2 linked regions of the Arabidopsis thaliana genome follow. The protein of the gene in region 2 interacts with the protein of the main gene of each other region in a biochemical or structural test. Each region holds a gene or a part of one and is shown on either strand. Other genes may lie near its edges.

Region 1 (4,509 bases), on a different chromosome or scaffold from region 2:
ATAAGTAATTGACTAATTGTTAATTTAACTTAGTTTTGACTTGGGGAGAAAGAAAGACAAAAGTGATTCAACCATAAACATATAGTTGGAATATTCATTGTTAATTTAAATTTCTGATGGGTTTACAAAAATTGGAAAATCCTCCAAGTTATTTATATACTATGAAAAGAAAAATGAATTATGAGAAGGAAAGTTGGTGTAGAAGAAAAAGCTTTTAGCCTTTAAGGCTTTTTAACCAATAGAAGCAACATATCATGTGTTGACAAAAAAATGAAGCATATCATGTGATAAATGAATGAGGAGGGTACTGATACTACTCACCAAAATTATCTTATAGAACTTCATTAAGAAATTGAAAGAAAAACAATACATTGTTTTTGTTACGATTTGGAAAGTTAGGTTCGGTGCAAAGGCCTACCCCTTCTATGAATCCGAAGGCCTATGATCATGGTGTGATCATCAAATATTCATATAACAAAATGCTTAATTGTTGATATTCTTAGATTTAAGCTATATGAGAACAACTATATGAAAACTTGATTCATCAAAAGGCTTGGATTGCATGAGAGGGTTAAAAGTTCTGCAAGAACGCAACAAACAAACAGAGAAACAGAAACACAGCTCTCTCTATGAACATATGTTACAGACACACATCAAGCTTGTAATTAAAAAAAAAACACAGCTCTTTCTATGTACATATGTTACAGACACACATCAAACTTGTAATTAAAAAAAAAAAACAGCTCTCTCTATGTACATATGTTACAGACACACATCAAGCTTGTAATTAAATAAAACAGAGCTTCCATGGCATCACTATTCGCTTAAACTATAAGTTAGTCTTCATCTTATTTTTCAAGACTATATACACTATGAGTCTATGATGACAATCAGACATAAGAAGAAGAAGTTTTCTGTAAATTACCCGTACAAACAAGACTTGAGCTCAGAGCTCAGTGTTTAAGGTTGAAGCTTGTGGATGGTAGTGAAGCATCTCATTCCACATCATTTCTCTTATCATCTCCTCTCTCAAATCCTCATCTACATCGAGATCGATAGGAACTTGAGCAGGAGGGTTTGCATTCGGGTCATATAGAGGCGCCATGTATGGATGCTGGAGTGCTTCAGAGACACTAATCCTCTTTGACGGATCAAAAACAAGCATTTTCTGCAGAAGGTCGATGGCCAAAACATGAGCGCCCGGGTAAAGTCTGGATAAAGACATCCCAGGTGAGTACGGAAGTGATCTAATGTATCTTTTAGCTTTCGGGTTATCTATGAACTCAAGATCTTCTTCTCTTTGGCTTCCGAGAATGTTGACAATGAGCTTCAGCTGGTTAAGACATTCCGTTCCTTGGAATATCGGTTTCCTACCAAGAAGCTCGGCGAAAATGCAACCAACAGACCAAACATCAATGGATGTTCCATAGTTGTCACAACAGAGGAGAAGCTCTGGGGCTCGGTACCAACGAGTCACAACATATTCAGTCATGAACTGACCCTTGGTGTTGCTCGCACGCGCTAGTCCAAAATCGCATATCTTTAAATCGCAGTTTGCGTTGACAAGAAGGTTACCAGGTTTCAAATCTCGGTGCAGGATATTGGCTGAATGAATATACTTGAGCCCTCGAAGCAACTACACAAAAAGAACAAAGCAAAGCAAAATTTCAGGAGAAAGCAAAGCTAGAACCAACAGTAAATGAACGGGATCAACCACACACCTGGAACAAGAAGTATTGGCAATGATCGTTACTAAGAACTTGAGAAGACTTGATAATCTGGTGGAGATCAGTGTCCATGAGCTCATAAACAAGATAAACATCCTTGAAGCTCATCTTATGAATTGGCATCATGACATCTTTCAAAGCAATGACATTCTCATGTCGAAGATGGCGTAGAAGCTTGAGCTCCCGAAGAGTCCTCAACGCATCGATCCTATTCTCATAAACATTGTGAATCTTCTTGATAGCAACTTTCTCGTTGGTGTCACTGTTAACAGAGGAGCAGACAACACCGTAAGCTCCACGACCAATAGGCTTGATAGGCATGTACTTAGTGTCGATCTCGAACAGAGTTTGCCACATTGAGAAGTAATGCTTCCCTTCATTCCTTATCCCATTAGGAGGATCAACCAAAGTCGCCATTTTTTGTTTTCCCTCTTCATCACAATTCACACACAATCAAGAAATCAAATTTACACACACAATTAACAAATTATTATACTAACTATTTATCAAAACTTTTCAAGTGATAAGTTACTGTAGATTTCTTGTGTAAACAGATTGGTCTGTTAATAATAGTGAAAAGGAAAAAGATCAAACTTTATCGATTTGGTGAAGGAACATAAACGATCGGAATCAATGGGAAAAAAGTTTACGGGATAAAGCGGGAAGGAAATTCTAACCGGTGATAAGTGACCAACGACGTTCCCCGGAGGTTAGATTTGGCCGGAGAGAGAAACCTGTGGAAGTGAGAGAGATTTGGCCAACGCTCGGACAGTTGACCTGCTACTTGTTCGTTACTAGGTAGTCTTTCCTTATATAATTTGGGCTTAAGTTGAGCCCAATTAATATTGGCAAACAGATTCACGTCTCTATCTTCTAAAATCAATTTCGGTATTTTTTAGTAACTGATCACCAAAGTAGCATCATTTGTGAATATGTGTTCTACGAAGATTTATAAAAATTGAAAATGAAGAAAAGTATTTTAAAGTAAAATATATCATAAATGTAAACAATGACACATGACTAAAATATTGCATCACCAATTCACCATCTTCTTTTGCTTTAACTTTACGTTTCCATCACACATCTTTTCATTTTGCTAAAATTAGCATCTAGAGGAAAATAAACTACAAAAGATTTAAAAGTTTTCATTAAGTCAGATTATTAATATAAGAGAGGAGGCCCATGCAGACAGAAAGGGAAAGCCCATAAATCTAAGCAGTGGCAAAAATGTTAGAAACTGTATAAAATGATACTAATAAATTGGTTGGAGTCTATTATAGTAGCAAATAAAAATAACGTTAGGTATTTTTGATTAAATAAAAGATGTTAGGTATCATTATGATCACTCATTCTCTTCAACCAATTATGTCAATACTACAGCTCATCAAAAGCCTTTATGGTAAAGCATGTTTCAGATATTTTCATTATTCATATACACACTACACAACATATAGTATTAAAGAAAATAAATAGTGTATAGATATTTAGAGATTTCCAACTAATTCAACATAACCAATACAGCTTTTAATCATTATCTAAAACCAGACAAAGATTCTTTCCAGTTGGTTTTCCCTGTTCTATTTCCTTACAAACAGTTATTGACTATTGAGCATTGCCTTCACTGTTGAGAAAAATTTGTGTAAATCTTACGCACTGTCAAGCAACTGCATGCATTCTCTAAATAATTACCTGACTCTAGATATAAAAGAACTGAATTAATGTAAAAAAAATATAAGCAAAATATCTAGGAGACAGATATTGACGGGTTACTTCAAGTTTGGACAAAAATAATTAAGAACACAAAAAATGCCGTTGAAACCTTTTCTTTTTGTAGTACAGTTTTTAGTTTTGTTGCTAACGTTCAAATTATTTATTTATTCATCGCTTATCTTGTTTTGTGGATTAGACAACCACGAAAAACAATGCTAGGGTTGTCAGAAACACCAAATATTCGAATTTGCATCCAAAATTCGATACTCATCTTGAACTTTTTTGTTTGTGACATTTTATTAAAAATTTCAATTTTTCCTAAAAGAATTTTACTTTAAATATTTAAAAAGAAGAAGCATGTTCATTTTTCAATATATCTGGTCCCCATATTAAAACAAGCAACAATAATTGACAATCTCTTTCTTTCATCTTCATCTTATTCTTCTTTATCTCTCTCTCTCTCTCAAGACTATTGAGCTTCTTTCTTTTTTCCTGAGTCTTTTAGTCTGATCTCTTACAAGAATGGCGTTCGCAGGAACAACCCAGAAATGCATGGCATGTGACAAAACAGTTTATCTTGTCGACAAGTTAACCGCCGATAACCGGGTCTACCACAAAGCTTGTTTCCGATGTCACCATTGCAAAGGAACTCTCAAGGTTTGATCTTTGATTCTAGTTTGTGATGATTTCTCATTAATCCAGAAGTAGATCTAGTAGATATATATGTAGATGAAGAAGTCCAATCAATTAAGTAGAAATCTTTGAATTTTTGGCTATGGAAACTGATTGGTCTAAAGATTTGACTGTTCTGTTTCTTCTTCTTCTTCTTCTTCTTCTTGATGAGTCAGCTTAGCAATTACAACTCCTTTGAAGGAGTTCTCTACTGCAGACCACATTTCGATCAAAACTTCAAGAGAACTGGAAGTCTTGAGAAAAGCTTCGAAGGTAAATTACCAAAAACAGATCAAAATGTGAAAAGCTTTGTGAGTGGGGATTTCAAATTTGGAATTATCTATCTAAAGTTTGATTCATATATATGTACAGGGACACCAAAGATTGGGAAACCTGATAG
Region 2 (3,369 bases):
TTTGTTCCTCAACTGTTTTGTAGGAAAAGGTAAAGTATTATGATATAGCTACTGAGAAGAGGGAAGAATTTCACCGAGCAATGACAGAATATACCAAGAGAATGGTACCACCGTTTTCTTCATTTTTCCTTGTTTTTGCTTAATATTTATTCACATCAGTGGGTTCTTCATTTTTCCTTGTTTTTGCTTAATATTTATTCACATCAGTGTCCCACTGATGCGGTGATAAAACATTAGTCTGAGCTTTTCATTTTACTATTTTGCAGGAATCAGGTGCCCACGATGAATCAGAGACCGACTCAGACTATTCTGAATAGATTACTTTTTAGTTTCTACCACATTAGAAACATTGTTCTAAGCCTTCTAGGATGGGTTTGTATATCGGTGATATTTAAGAGTTTCTGTTTCGTTTTTGAGATCATTCTTTCACTGATACTCATGTTTCTGTGGATTGCATTTGGAGATCAATGAATACTAACCAGTTTCTTGAGTGGTTGCCAAAGGGTTTTACTGTTTCTTTTTATTGTCTCGATTCTGTTTGAAACAAAAATTCCAGACTGCAGAGTGACGAAAAAGCTGATCAAGTTTAGCAAGTACACTTGAGATTAATACAGACAAATTTCCAGGTACATTTTCATTTGATGTCAAATAGAAAGTCACACCCCATAGATGACAGAAAATTCTACACCAGCAATAACTTTCATGTGTTGGTAAGTTCTGTAGGCTGATACAAAAAATAGAATGTAACTCTAACAAGTCGGTCTAGCTATTTTCTGGAGAGAAGCATGAGGCAAGACGAAGCCTGCAAGTGATTGACTTGACCTTCAATCCTACCATGGACTGTCTGAAGCCTATCTTTGTATTCATTGAGTTCATCGAGGGTAAGCGTCTCAATGGACTCCTTGAATCTCTCATCCCCAGCAGATTCAAGCTTCTCCTGACTCTTCTCGCCTCGTTCCTTCTCAGCTTCAACCTCTTGGTTGAGCAAATCGAGACGTTCACTCAGCCTCTTCAGTTTAGGCCTGTAATTACCACTTTTTTCTTCATCGCCACTGTCTGAATCATCATATTCTCTCATGAATCGCTCTGCAACAGAATCAAGATTCGGTTTCCCGTAGGAGAAAGGCTTGCCTCCTGGTGAAAAGACAACGATGCCCAACTCAGCGTTGCAGAGCGTGGCTAACTCGCTCGCCTTCTTGAACAAACCAGTCCTCCGTTTTGAAAAGGTAACCTGTCGTGTGTTCATGTCCTGAACCATCTCCATCTTGATCTTTCTCCGACCCATTTGTTTGCTAAAACGGTACGAATAAGAGAGAACCTCTCGTTTTTTTTTGCTGTGAAAGTGAATATGTTGGTGAAGAAGAAGATTTTGGTGTTGTATGTCTCTGTTTTTAGTAATGGAGATGGAGGTAGAGAATTTTCATTGAACCTAACGAGGGTCATATATAGTAATGGAGGTGGAGAATCACAAGGGTGCAGATTTAGCAAGTTTTTAATTGAAAATCTTGAATTGCCTTATATGGGCGTTGAATAGTTTCTAATTGTGTGTATTCAAACATCCATGAATATTTAAATTTTCATTTTTCTTTTTTCTATTGAATAGTTTCTAATTGTGTATTCAAAACATACATGAATCTTTAACAATTCATATTTTTTCCCTTTATTTCTTAAGAACATAGACAAAAGATGGGATTCATTACCTTGTAAAGAATTAAAAATGGTATTCATAATTGGTCTTTCTTTTTTTTTTTTTTTTTATGTAATTCAAAATTTAGAAGTTTATTTTATATTCTGGTCGTTATTCTCCAAAGTGATTTTTTTTTTCTTCTTTGTAGACCTCTCGTTGATTAATAAGTTATCGACCATGTTATGTAGTTCAAAAGTTTTTGCAAATGGTGTCGTTGAATTAAAATAAAAAGTTATGGACCGTTTCAAACGTTTTTGTTTGCGAATGCCCACTGAGGACAGGAGTCCAAAGGTTTGCGAGTCACTCGAATGACTTATGAGTTCAGTCACATTCAACTTAACCATGTTTTTTTAATTAGAAACCTAAAACAAGAGCGTCGACCATAAGACCTACAAATGCTTTCAAGACTCCGAACTACATTATCAAAAATAAAGTCTTTGACAATTTGCATACCAAACACACCCAAATTGCATGAAAAATTCCGTGCAATTAAATTTGAACAAGAGAAAAATTATGACCAAGACTTTGGATTCCTTATCACCAAAACTCTCAACAATGCAACATCAAAATCCGATTGAAGAAGTCACACCAAAAGTGAAAGACAAAAAAGTTAAAAACATATAAGGATGGTTTGAGATATATTTTAGTTATTTTGAAGAACAAAAACAAACTTGTTTGGACTTTGATGTGGTACGATCAAATCATTTGGTATTATCTCTGTTCTTGGAACCAAACTATGTTGTGTGAACACCGAATTAGGTCTAAGTATGTTCTTGCACATTAGTAAATAGTAAGTGACTGATCCATCAATATCATAAAGCTTCTTAAATATTTCACACACATACAAAGTAATTTACAAGATATGAAATCTGCATCACATTTCCAAGATGCAACAAACCGGATACACACAACTCGATCACAAATTAAACTCACTTTCCGGGGACGAAGTTGGTAGCGAAGGCCCATGCATTGTTGTTGACTGGATCAGCCAAGTGGTCCGCGAGGTTCTCCAACGGTCCCTTTCCGGTGACAATGGCCTGAACGAAGAATCCAAACATAGAGAACATAGCCAACCTTCCGTTCTTGAGCTCCTTCACCTTCAACTCCGCGAAAGCCTCGGGGTCAGTAGCGAGGCCCAATGGGTCGAAGCTCCCACCTGGGTAAAGCAAGTCCTCTGCTTCTCCCAATGGACCATCTCCGGCGACTCTGTAGCCCTCAACAGCTCCCATGAGGATAACTTGAGTAGCCCAAATGGCTAAGATGCTCTGAGCGTGGACCAAGCTCGGGTTGCCCAAGTAGTCCAATCCTCCGTCGCTGAAGATCTGTGAACCAGCCTTGAACCAAACCGCTTCTCCGAACTTCACTCCGTTCCTAGCCAATAGCTCAGGGAAAACGCAGCCTAGGGCTCCGAGCATGGCCCATCTGCTGTGGATAACTTCTAGCTCACGGTTCCTAGCGAAGGTCTCGGGATCGGCGGATAGACCGGCAGTGTCCCACCCGTAATCACCGGGGAACTCTCCAGTGAGGTAGCTCGGAGGCTCACCGGAGAATGGACCCAAGTACTTGACTCGGTCGGATCCGTACCATGGGCTGCCGGATGGACCGGTGGGCTTGGAGGCTTTGCGCATGGTGATTCGGCCGGTTCCAAATACTTCGGAGGCCGCCGGGGATAGCTTAACGGC

The links. Proteins that work in one complex are often made in the same cells at the same time.
Region 1: of the proteins of AGL29 (region 2) and MPK1, one has a biochemical effect on the other in vitro, tested with the Arabidopsis thaliana proteins (one large-scale study listed by BioGRID).

What each region holds. Positions count from the first base shown.
Region 1 is NC_003070.9:3,347,214-3,351,722, reverse strand, and holds MPK1 (mitogen-activated protein kinase 1), read right to left. Parts: upstream 2,642-4,509; 5' UTR 2,405-2,641; exon of another isoform or gene 2,159-2,404; 5' UTR 2,145-2,158; coding exon 1,722-2,144; intron 1,637-1,721; coding exon 947-1,636; 3' UTR 543-946; downstream 1-542. Other genes in the region: WLIM1 (GATA type zinc finger transcription factor family protein), read left to right, coding at 3,960-4,094, 4,286-4,382, 4,482-4,509.
Region 2 is NC_003071.7:14,524,866-14,528,234, reverse strand, and holds AGL29 (AGAMOUS-like 29), read right to left. Parts: upstream 1,565-3,369; 5' UTR 1,286-1,564; coding exon 767-1,285; 3' UTR 501-766; downstream 1-500. Other genes in the region: AT2G34450 (HMG-box (high mobility group) DNA-binding family protein), read left to right, coding at 24-104, 267-317; LHB1B1 (light-harvesting chlorophyll-protein complex II subunit B1), read right to left, coding at 2,617-3,369. UniProt on the Arabidopsis thaliana protein: Probable transcription factor.